Linked DNA regions of Oryctolagus cuniculus. The protein of the gene in region 3 interacts with the protein of the main gene of each other region in a pairwise test. Links are inferred from orthologs where the notes say so. Each region holds a gene or a part of one and is shown on either strand. Other genes may lie near its edges.

Evidence for each region.
Region 1: the proteins of IPO13 (region 3) and PAX6 interact in a two-hybrid assay, tested with the Homo sapiens proteins (2 studies listed by BioGRID and IntAct). The link is inferred for Oryctolagus cuniculus from reciprocal best matches to the Homo sapiens genes IPO13 and PAX6.
Region 2: the proteins of IPO13 (region 3) and PITX1 interact in binary tests that used the Homo sapiens proteins (3 or more experiments, as listed by UniProt). The link is inferred for Oryctolagus cuniculus from reciprocal best matches to the Homo sapiens genes IPO13 and PITX1.

Annotation. Positions count from the first base shown.
Region 1 is NC_091432.1:34,187,379-34,190,983, reverse strand, and holds the end of PAX6 (paired box protein Pax-6), read right to left. Parts: intron 1,822-3,605; coding exon 1,671-1,821; intron 631-1,670; coding exon 545-630; 3' UTR 476-544; downstream 1-475. UniProt on the Homo sapiens protein: Transcription factor with important functions in the development of the eye, nose, central nervous system and pancreas. Required for the differentiation of pancreatic islet alpha cells.
Region 2 is NC_091437.1:23,204,593-23,208,942, reverse strand, and holds the start of PITX1 (pituitary homeobox 1), read left to right. Parts: upstream 1-1,460; 5' UTR 1,461-1,783; intron 1,784-2,076; 5' UTR 2,077-2,289; intron 2,290-4,350. UniProt on the Homo sapiens protein: Sequence-specific transcription factor that binds gene promoters and activates their transcription. May play a role in the development of anterior structures, and in particular, the brain and facies and in specifying the identity or structure of hindlimb.
Region 3 is NC_091438.1:129,090,316-129,094,170, reverse strand, and holds the end of IPO13 (importin-13), read left to right. Parts: intron 1-2,094; coding exon 2,095-2,161; intron 2,162-2,249; coding exon 2,250-2,308; intron 2,309-2,449; coding exon 2,450-2,539; intron 2,540-2,856; coding exon 2,857-3,038; intron 3,039-3,125; coding exon 3,126-3,222; 3' UTR 3,223-3,293; downstream 3,294-3,855. UniProt on the Homo sapiens protein: Functions in nuclear protein import as nuclear transport receptor. Serves as receptor for nuclear localization signals (NLS) in cargo substrates.

The DNA.
Region 1 (3,605 bases), on a different chromosome or scaffold from region 3:
ACAACCTTTGGAAAACCAACAGATATTTCTTACATAAATCTAGTGCATGTTGTTCCAGGTTTAATTATATGCAAAGGAATGATACAAACTTGGAACATCAGTCCATAAACTATGAACAGATGGGTAGAAGTATTCGATATATCTTGATAAAACTTAAATTCGTGGAAAAAAAAAATTTGTTGATCATGGTTTCCTTTTTTTTTTTTTAAACAACTTCATGACCAACACAGATCAAACATCCATCCAGGCTACATTGTTCTTTTTTTTTTTTTCTTTTCATTATTAACATACAAATGCCCATTTACAAATAATACACCAAAATGAATAAAAGTTTGGATACCAAAATGAAGATTTGTTCCAACTGATATCGTGCCTTGTGTATGCAAAGGTCCTTGTTTCAAGTCCATTTCCCCAGGGGTATGACACAGGACCCGGATGCAGAACCCAAGTGCTTCTAACAGCCATTTTCCTTTCCTGAACTCCCAACTGTCGTGTCCACATAGTCACTGACTGCGTTATCACAATATTTCCTTTTTTTTTTTTTTTACTGTAATCTTGGCCAATATTGAGACATATCAGGTTCACTTCCGGGAACTTGAACTGGAACTGACACACCAGGAGAAATGAGTCCTAGAAATGGATGAAAGAAATAGCCATGTAGATATTCCCTTTGAGAGACAGGTATGGATATGAATTTATCAGTTAAAAAAAAGAAGAATCTGTCAAATGTCCCAACAATTTTTTCACTAAATTAAAAATATGTCAAAAAAAAAAAAAGCACCTGCAAAACTGGACATCTGTTTACATGAGCATACTTCAAAAAGTTCAGGAAAAATGTGTCCTACCAAAAGTGCATAGATTTCAAGATTTCTTTGCACCAAAATAAACTTACCTTTTCATTCCATTTTTCTAAAAAAATTTCAAGTACCTTCAGATGGACCTATTGAATTCCAAGTCTCTCCTCCAGAAAGAACTGAGGAGTAAAGAGGCCAAGAAGTTTCAACCCAGCTGCTGGCTGGGTTCTCGTGTTAAACTCTGGCCAATCATCTGTCCTCAGAAAGCCTAGTCTCAGGCTCTGTCAAGAAAAACATCATTTTGGCCTATAAAGCATCAACCTACAGCTAGCTTAACTGGATTCACCTTTGCCATTTTCCCTGGAGACAAGGGCAGCAAAGTGTTCAACAAACCCTCACAGGGTTAAGAGGTTATTTTTTTTTTTAAAGACAAACTTTGGTTAAAAGGAGATGACCTAGGCCGGCGCCGCAGCTCAATAGGCTAATCCTCCACCTAGCGGCACCGGCACACCGGGTTCTAGTCCCAGTCGGGGTGCCGGATTCTTTCCCGGTTGCCCCTCTTCCAGGCCAGCTCTCTGCTGTGGCCAGGGAGTGCAGTGGAGGATGGCCCAAGTGCTTGGGCCCTGCACCCCATGGGAGACCAGGAGAAGCACCTGGCTCCTGCCATCGGATCAGTGGGGTGCGTTGGCTGCAGCGCGCCGGCCGCGGTGGCCATTGGAGGGTGAACCAACGGCAAAAGGAAGACCTTTCTCTCTGTCTCTCTCTCACTGTCCACTCTATCTGTCCAAAAAAAAAAAAAAAAAAAAAAAGGAGATGACCTGGCAAAAGCAGCTGTAGAAGCCCCCTGTGTGCGGGCTGCAGCGAGGAGTAGCTCACCTGTTGAAGTGGTGCCCGAGGTGCCCATTGGCTGACTGTTCATGTGTGTCTGCATATGTGGGGGAGTGTAGGTATCGTAACTCCGCCCATTCACTGACGGGCTGGTGGGCAGCATGCAGGAGTACGAGGAGGTCTGGCTGGGGACTGGGGGCTGCAAGGAGAAAGGCAAACTGTGGTCACTGAGAAACATAGCACACAGCCACATTCCCAGGCTTAAGGATCCCTTCATGTCAAGAGCTGGAACATTCCATACGAAAAATCTGAGACGAAGCCTCCAACTTGGCTACGCCTCAAGCTTCTAAAGCTCTGTAAATTCAGACAACTGGCCAGCTAGACGGTTGACAATAGATGTTTTTGGTCTATTTTCATCTTGCTGTGTGCTGGCATCTTCAGAAAACTGTAGCATAAGGACTTCCATCAACACATCACCTCTCCTTGCAAATCCATCTGTATTAGGGGAATTCTATGACCCCCAAACCCCTATCTCCAGCTTAGGGGCAGGGAGGCGCTCTCTGTGAAGTTTGGTGTCCCGCCTTGGGAACCTTTCATAGCTTGACTCGGGATTAAATATCCTGTGACAATGCAGATTCACAATGATCTCAGGTCCAGGTGGTCAGAACGGCAGTATGTATTATCTCACCCAGTCCCAAGAATTAGCTGGGACTTCCCAACAGGCCCAAAAGCTCCGATTGAGTTTCATCCATTGAATTGGGTTGCTACCCTCTAACTAACTACGCAAAGCTGGGACAAAACTTGTCTTGAGCTCCCATGGGTCTGTACTGGGGCAGCAAACTGGGGATCTTGATCCCAAGAACAAGGGAGAAGATGGTCCTGCTCTGCTTCGGAAACCGGAGAAATGCTTAACGTGCCCAGATCCACATTCTCAGAGATCGTGAGAGGAGAGTTCAGAGGACAACACCCGCCCTGTGCAAAATCATTGAAGTTTCTGTTTAACAGGATCAACAGATGGACGGACCCAATGCCCCGCCCACTCCAAAATGCATTGAGAAGTTTTCTTAAAAACTAAAGTCACTGCTTTTATTTTCTTTATGTTTTAGGAATGTATGTGCCTTTTAAATTATATCAGTTGTGCAGAGTTTTAAAGTCTGTATTTGAAATAAATCACCTCCACACACCAGTCTCTATGTGGAAACAACCCTAACAGAGGGGCCACATTTATTTGTTTGTAATTGCTATGTCATATACACATTCTGTCAGCTTCAGGGAAACCTGCATGTTGTTACAATATGTAAAACTGAACAAGACACGCTGGCCTTATTAAAGTCTGATGACGACTGCTAACATCAAGTTCAAAGAGGCAAACAGGCCTTGAGGGCCCTGTCAGAATTTCAGCTTGCATTTGTTTCTAATTCCTGCAATCACTTCCTCTAGGCAACCTGACTTCTGGAAAATTCCAAGGCAGCTATAGCAACACCAACTAATGGACTGCTAATCCCTTAATTTGCATCAATTGCACTATGGCCAATAATATCCAGATGCAATAAAAATAAACACGTGAATAATTTTCTGAAGATGCTTATCCAGTTGCCCCGTATTAGTCTGAAGACTGGGAAACATTCATCTTGCTGTTATTGGGACTTGAAATCCAGCAAAAGATGTTCAGTGGAGAATAAACAATCTGTGTAACCCCAGCACTGTTTCCAGCAGGGGCTCATGCTGGCCAATGTCACACCAGCCGGCATCTCTAATTGTTGCACAAACAGGAATCTTAGCACAGCCCACCACAAGATGGACTGTTTTCCCATCAAGATTCCATCTCGCAACAAAGGTCTCGTATACCGCATCGCATCTGCCTTACACAACTTACATTATACAGGGTGTACCTAGCACAAGACCTAGCAATGCAAGGGCTGATAAATTCTTGGGTCAGAATTCAGAGCAGGCTCGTGTACCCAGTGAAGAACATCAAGCTTT
Region 2 (4,350 bases), on a different chromosome or scaffold from region 3:
CTGACCAGCCAGCACAGCCACCCTGGGGAAGAAGGAAGCAAAAACAAGAGTCAAGCCACCTGGCAGGTGCCTGTGCCCCTTAGCCCAGCTCCACCTGGGGCCAGCCCCTCGGTTCCATCATCTTGTCTGTGTCTCAAAGAAGGGGATCCCCTGCTCGCCCCATTTACAGATGAGGAAGCTGAGGCTGGGTGAGGCTCTCTGACTTGCCCAGAGCCACACAGCCAGTCCAAGACGCAAAGATCCCAGCTCAGGCCATCAGGTGCCAGAGGCAGGATTTCTTTGCAACCACAGAAGATTCCTTGGGAACAAGAGCAGGCAGAGAATCTCTCTCTTTCTTTCTCTCTCTCTCTCTCTCTCTCTCTCTCTCACACACACACACACACACACACACACACACACAGAGGCACCCGCTGGAAACAAAACCTGGAAAACTGTTAGTGTGCAGGGGTGGGTGAGTCAAAGCCAACCCAGCCAGGCGCCTGTGCAGCCCTCTGTAGGGGGGCACCAGTGGTTGCCTCCATTAAGCCCAAAGATGCCCGAAAGCTCCAGGTCAGAAGCGCCCTGGCTTAGCAGCTCTGGGCAGGGCCACCACCAGGCCACTTTCACTCATAAAACATGGGGGGAGGGGGGTAAGAGAAGGGGGAGGCTGGAATCCCCATGGCGCAGGGCGGTCAGCAGGCTGCACGTGCGCGGGGCAGTCCCTGGGCCAGGTCTGCAAGAAAGGCGCCAGAGACTGGTCCCTTAACCCTTAACGACCCTGTGTGCCCCGAAAGCCCACTGGCTTCCTAAAGCGGTCCCCACTGTTGAGGGTTGCCGGGAGGGACAACGCCACTCCCCTCCAACGGCACGACAGGCTGCAGGGACCCAGGCGAGCTCGGGTCGGCTTTCACCTTCGGAGGTCGGGGCGCGGGTCCTGGGTCGGCTGCCCGGGCCAGGCTGCCCCGGAGGCGCGGATGAGCAAGGAGACAGGGCGGGCGCGGGGCCGTGCGGTCTCTCTCACGGCAGCTGTCGGCGAGCACCAGGCGGCGGGGAGGCACCGCCGCGGACTGCACCTCATGAAACATTCATGCCCGCCGCCTCGCTGCCCTCTCCCGGAACCTTGCGCCCTGGCCGCGGCCCCGGAGCCCGCGGCCGTCGGCGGGCAGGCTGGCCGCTCTGCTCCCCGAGAGTGGCAGGCCACAGCCCGCCTCGCTGTCCCATCCCACAGCCCCCCGCAGCTGCAGGCGCAGACTCGGCGCTTTAGGGAAGCAGGTTCGGCCAACTGGTTTCCCCAACGAGGCTCCGGATGAGTGGCGACGCGGGGGAAGCCGGTGGTCGCGAATGTGAGAAGGGTCGGCTCCCACTTCCCGCTCGGTCCTGCCCATCTCCCAGCGGCCGCCAGCCAGGAACAGGCCTAGGGACCACATGGGTCGAGGCCTCCCGGCCCAAGGATGATCGCTAGAGGGTGTGCAGGCGCGGGCACTGGACAAGAGGCCATGAGCGCCTGAACTCGTGCACTCGGCGCCTTCTTTCCTCCACAGCCCAGGCCCTGAGGAGGGGGCCGGCTGCCCCTCCCCGCACCCCCGTCACACACACCGAAAGCCTGATCTGTCCTCAAACCTCGGTGGCCAACAAGCTCTGCGCAGCGACTCTTCGCTGCCAATAACTTGCAAACCCAGCTGGACCCGCAGGCTGGGCAGAAAGGGGCAAGGTCGACTCTCCAAACCCCAGCTTGGCTGGAACCTGGCCGGACCCCGGGAAACTCCAGCCGGACCCACGCTAGGCCCAGCCCCTCACGTGCCAGGTGGGAAACTGAGCCCCGGAGAGAATGCGCGTCGGGGCTGGGCTGGGATCCACAGCGGCCTCGTCCGCCTGAGGCCGGGCCTCTCCGCAGCGCGCGCAGTCCCCCGGCGCTCCTCGGACTGCTGCCCCGGCCGGCCGCTAGCCGCACGGACCTCAGCCCGCGCCCGGAGGGAGGCCGGGACCCCTGGCCCGTGGGACAGCGCGCCGCCCCCTCCCCGCCGGTCCCGGCCGGCGCCTTCCCCTCCCCCCCCCCCATTCCCGCCTCCCCGGCCCGTGTCCCCGCCTTCCCCGCAGGCGACGGGCGGCGGCGGCAGGAGGAGCGGGTCGAGCCGAGGCAGCCCCGACCTTGCGCGCTGGGATGTAGCGAACCAGCCGGGGCCGAGGCAGCGCGCACAGCTGGAGACAGAGCTGGATCCGGGGCCCCGGCCGGAGCCGAAACCTGAGCCAGAGTCCGCGGCGGGCGAGCCCAGAGCCGCTGAGCCGCCGACGCAGCGCTGCCCGGGTTGGGTAAGAAACGCCGGGCTCTAGGGGCGCGGGGTCTCCGCGGTGGAGGGGCGTGCGGAGGTGGCGGCCGAGTCCTGCGCTCTTTGATCCCGGCGAGCACGGGGTGCAGCCGGCGGTGCGGAAGGTGCGCGACGCTCGGAAGGTCGGGCGCCCTCGAGGCAGCGCGAGGAGCGCGTTCCTAGCCCGGTGCATGGCCGCAGCTGCCGTCACCCGGAGCCACCTCACCTAAACAGGGAGCTCACCTTGCGCCTCGGCCCCGGGGCATCCCAAGAGGGCAGCAGCCTCGGGGGCGCGGGCCCGGGCCCCACGACGGGCGCAGCCCTGGAATCCTTCGCAGTCCTTTGCGGCGGCGCGGCGCATAGGGGGCCTCGGGGAGCCGAGGGCAGGCGAGAGGGCGGCCCGGCACTCCGGCTGCGTCCGGGGATGGGGGCCCCAACAGCGGCGGAAGTGCTGGCCCCTCTGCGCGGCTCGGGACTTCTGCCGCGGCTTCGCGTCAAGAGGGTATTTGTCCTAAACGAAACCGCTTCGTTCGTTCGCTCGTTCGGGCAGCGATGCCGCACAACAGCAGCAGACCTCGGCCAGAGCCCGGCTCTCTTCGCCCCGGACCCCGACGCCCGCCGCAGCGCGGGACGGTGCGCCCAGCCCACGGCGGCCTGCCCTCGCCCGCTCGGGTCGGGCTTCACTCTCCCCTGGGAACCCCAGATGCCCTTCACAGAGTCTAATAAAGACATTCCCGCGGCTTCTCCCGGGCTTCGTGGTTAAGGCAAGGTCCCCGCATACCCAGCTGCTGCTCTCGAACGGGGTCTCCGCACGCTGACGGAGACCAGCCCCCGAACAATTCCGCGGCGGCCACACAGAGCCCTGAGGCCGGGAGCGCGGCATTGGGCGCCCCAGGCTGAAACTGCAGCCCCAGAATTTTCTGATTTAGGAATTCTCTGAATCTAAAAATATGCGAGCCCCTTTTTCGGAGAAAACGAAGGCTTGGGTGTTCTCTTGGATTCCCAGTGGGTTCTGAGATCCCACAGGGCCAGAGGGAGGAAACCAGTTTGCTGTCTAGTTGCTGAAAAGGCAGCGCTAGGGCAATGGCGAGGTCCAGCCAGAGCGCAAAGCTGCAGGCAGGAGAGGCACTGGAGAGAACCTGCCCTGTCCCCTGTCCTTTCCCCCTGGCTGCTGGGGGGCTTGGGAGAGAAACAGAGGTGGGCTGGGGCGGGGAGATGCAGAGGCCACAAGGGCTGACCCGGGAGGAGGAGACCCTCCAAGGGCCCTTCTCCCAGGAAAGAAGCTGCCTGTCGTGTGACCCTGGGCTGCCACCCTCCTGGGCTCTCTCCCCTCCAGCACAGCCATTCTCAGGAACCAGATAGTGTCCTGTGGACATGGGGTGAGCAGTGGACCAGGAAGACCTATGGGCCCTGCCAGCGGCTCACAGAGCAGGGGAAAGCACAGAGTCCCCAGCTCCCAGCCCTCGGGCTGTGCCCTGTGGCAGTCACCCTGCTGGAGCCCAGACTGGGAACCCCGAGGGGCGTGAAGCCTCGGACTGGGGCCCTCAGCAGCCTGAAGAGCCCGCTGGGGTTATTCCAGCATCTGCCAGAGCACCCCTGCTCCCCGTCGCCCGGTAACAGCTTGTATTCTGGAAACAAGAGCTTTTATTGGGGAGGGGGCGTTAGATCAGGCACAAGGAGGTAGGTGGTCCCCGCTGTACTCCCAAAACTGGGTTTTCTAGTTTGAACTTCTCCACGGCCTAAGAGGCTTAGGACTGGAATGTCCCGGAGAGTCATGGATGGCCCCGGGGGCAGGCCATGGCACATTCCTTCCTTTTTCCTAAAATCCCTTGGTCCTGGGAGCAAGGATTAGAGTAGGTACCCCCATGGGTGGGGAGCAGGGTGCCCCCATGAGGACCTTCCAATGATCCTTCCCAAATTAAATGACTAAGCCACACTTAGGCACCGCGTCCATTTTCGAGCGAGCCCAGCTTTTCAGAATGGGCCCCTGTGACTCCCTGAACCCCAACGATGGCCCTGGCCCCTCTGCTGAGCCCGGCCAGGACCGTAAACCCCAACCTTCTTG
Region 3 (3,855 bases):
TCTCTTATGTTGAAATTCAATTTAAGCCTATTTTTAGCTTTCTGTTGACAAGTTTTTTTTTTCTGTTCAGTTGAATAGAGTTTCTTCATCTGTTTCCGTGGAAGTTGACAACCCAGCATCCTCCTTTAGAGCCCCTTTGCCTCAACTAGCAGAGTCTCCCACAAAGACCAGGGAGAGGCTGATCCGAAGGGAGGGAGCTGGGCTGGCCTGGGGCACTGGGGAAGGACGGGGGCGCTAACTGTGCCCAGCAGCTCCTGAGTGGCTGACTTGCCCAAGAAGCTCAGGGTAGGGCTGGAGTCGAAGGGCCTGGGGTTCACTGTCCCCGTGCTCCTGCCGGGAACTGCCTGCCTCAGTGCCCTCAGCCTGCTCCTGAGAAGTAGGCTGGGAGCAGCTCCAAGAGGAGGGGCTGACAATGAGTGTGCAAGGCAGAGCCCAGGGTCGGGCCATGGGGAGGTTGTGCTGCAGCCGGGTGGAGCGGAGGGGCGCAGACTCTACAGCGAGCCCACGCTAGGATGTGTTTGCGATTGGTATGTGTTTAAGCATGTTGCACCCTCTTGTATGTTTTGAGTTTGGTTTGGGAAAGGAGCAGAAATCAGCTGGTGCTGCTGTGAGTCTGTGCGTGTTGCGTAGGGTGTTGGGGTAAGTGTGTTAAGTGTGTTCGCTGACACGTGTGGGTGTGTGGGGCTGTGGGGGAGGATGAGGAGTGTGTGGTGGCATTGGTATGTCTAGAGTACAAATGTGTTGGGCTCCTGGGTGTGTGGAGTTAGTGTGGTGGGGTTCTGTGTGTTAGGGAGTCCCAGTGGGTTGTGGGGTGGGGTGAGGGGCCCTGTGAGTTGGGGTAAATGGAGTGCTTCTTTGCTTAATCATTCCATAGATATTCTGAATGTGTCATCCATGCTTGGCACTAGGCCAGGTGCTGCTGAGGGTGTAAGGGTGAGCTAAAGCAGGCACGGTCCTTGGTCTCTCGAACCTAGAGTCTAGTTGGGAGGGGCAGGAGGCATGAGGAATGAGGCCTGGATGGATGTGTGTGTGTGTGTATGTGTGTGTGTGTGGCAGCTGCAAGGGTGTGCCTTGAGTGTGCATTTCTGGATGGGTGTGTTGGAAGGGTGTCCATGTACTGGAGGACTGTGGGTAGGTTGAAGGTGTGGGTGTATTGACACAGTTTGGGGATGTAGGATGCTAGGGTGCATGGCGAGTGTGTGTGGTCAACATGGGAAAGTGTGTGTTAGAGGTGCCTTTCAGGTGGGGTGCATGTCGGGGTATTGGCACCTGAGTAAACATGGAGGGTAGAAGGTATACGAGGGGCTGGAGGGTGTGCGCTGGGCTGTTGCTGGGGAGCAGCAGGGTTCGAGGACTGCTGCTGCAGCTGTGCGGAGCATCTCCTGTGACCTGAGGATGTGCCACTCATGTCCTGGTACCACTTGGGCCAGGCCACCTGCCCCTTCACCCCGTTCGCTCCACACCCTCCACTCTGTGGTAGCCCTGGCTCCTGGGGTGGGTATGGCTGAGAGGAGCCTGGACACAGGATGTCCTGGGGGAAAGGTGGGGCCGGGGCTCCAGGGCTCCTGTCCGGCTTTTCCTCTCCCTGAGAGGAGCTGGAGGGTGCCTGAGGACTGCAGGCAGAATACAGGAGGAGGGCTGTCGGGCCGAGATCTCCATGTCCAGCTGCCACTTCTCCTTCCTGCTGCCCTGTCCACACACCCAGGGGCCTTAGCTGCCTCTTGAATCAAAGTGAAGTCAGTGCTGGCTACCTGGAGCCTGCAGGAAGTCTGGCCCTGATAGAGGGGGAGAAGGAAGGTGTTTGCTCAGGGAGTGACTTGGGGCCCAGACTTTCTGCGTTATGCTCCCCGATCTCCAACCTCTCTCACACACACACCTGTGCATTCAGGTACACATACTTGTCTCTAGATCCCTTGGGCTGCTCTTTGACCAGCTGGACTCTGGGGGTGGTCTGGGTCCCCCAGAGTTGGCGGGGTGGCTGGTTTTGGCGGCCTTTACCTGTGGTGTGGAGTTGGGGGCTGGGGTGGCAGGTGAGTGGGGGGGATGGTCCTTGGAGCTGGCTGGGGCTGGGCTTACCAGCTCCACCTCCTGCAGGCTCTGAAGCGGAAGCCAGATTTGTTCCTGTGTGAACGATTGGATGTCAAAGCTGTGTTCCAGTGTGGTAAGTGGGGCCGGGAGGACAGGTGGGCCTGGGGCTCCCCTCGGAGGATCCTTAGGCCCCACCTGATCTGCCTCTTCCTCTCCTGCAGCTGTGCTGGCCCTCAAGTTTCCCGAGGCACCTACTGTCAAGGCCTCCTGTGGCTTCTTTGTGAGTTGCAAGCAGACCCCTGACTCCTCACCACCTCTGTGGCCTGCCCTGCCCGGGACTCAGCGGTCGACGTTTGCAGGTCCAGTCCTCAGGGAGAGGCGGGAAGGAGCTGGGGCTGATGGGTCTCTCTGTCCTCTGCAGACAGAGCTGCTGCCTCGGTGTGGGGAAGTAGAATCCGTGGGGAAAGTGGTGCAGGAGGACGGCCGTATGCTGCTCATAGCAGTGCTGGAGGTGAACGGGGGCAGGTGGATGTTTGATCAGGGCAGGGTGGGGTGGGGAGAGGGGTTGGCTCTTACTGCTGGGGCAGCTGGCTTTCTGGGAATCGTAAACCTGTAGGTCCCTAAGCTCTTGGACTCTGTTTCTTCCTCAATTAAATGGCTGGCAGTTATCAAGGCTGCTGTGAGGATCAGCTGGCTCTCCAGAAGCAGCGCTCACTTGTGATGTGCGGTGTGGCTCAGGAACTATTCTGGAGGGCCCGGGGGCATGGTTAGGCCTCCTTGCTGCGGAAGGGACAAGGCCCCAGTGTGCTGAGAACCCCTCTCCCTCAGGCCATCGGGGGCCAGGCCTCCCGCAGCCTCATGGACTGCTTTGCCGACATCCTGTTTGCCCTGAACAAGCACTGCTTCAGCCTCCTGAGCATGTGGATCAAGGAGGCACTGCAGCCCCCTGGCTTTCCCTCTGCCCGCCTCAGCCCGGAACAGAAGGACACCTTCAGCCAGCAGATCCTTCGGTGAGCGGAGCTGGGGTGGGCCTGGGTGTGGGTGGGGAAGAGGCGGTGGGCGGTGCTCACCTGCTCTCCTCTCCCTCCCTCCCTCAGCGAGCGAGTGAACAAGAGGCGAGTGAAGGAGATGGTGAAGGAGTTCACACTGCTGTGCCGGGGGCTGCATGGCACAGACTACACAGCTGACTACTGAGCGGTGCCCCCTTCCCACCCACCTCTTCACCTCACCCCTCCCTATGCCCAAAGAGTAAATGTGGACCCTCACTGCTGCCTCTGCTTCCTTCCTGCTGCCGCCATCATGTAAAGAGAAGCCTGGGCCCAGAAGGACTGAGGGCAAGACGGGAGGATGTTGGGCCCAGGCGTTGGGAGGGAGTGCCCGAGAGGAAGTGAGGTGTGTGCTCACCCTCTAGTTCCTAGGGCACAGGAGGTACTGCTGTAGCCAAGCCGTTGCCCTTGGGGTGAGATGTGGAGGGGAGAGGCTGTGGTATTACCAGCCACCCCCCAACATCCATTTGGCTAGTCCCAAGGCACATGCGTGGATATGTTTATTTAATCAACAGTGCTGAGTACTAGACCCCTAGCTGTGTCCTGTACAAAAGCTGACGTAGTCCGTGATCACCATAGTAAGCTGGGAGAATGGTGAGAGAAGGGCTGCATGGAGGAAGTTTCATTTCTGGTGGGAATAGAAGTCTTCCTAGATCCATTCTTGAAGAATTGGGCTGGAAGTGGGTGGCTCTGTGTCCAGTTGGGAGGGGAGAAACAGAGTGGGGCTTTGAGTTCCAGAATGGGTTTCTGGCATGGGTTACACCAATCACACAGTTGACGA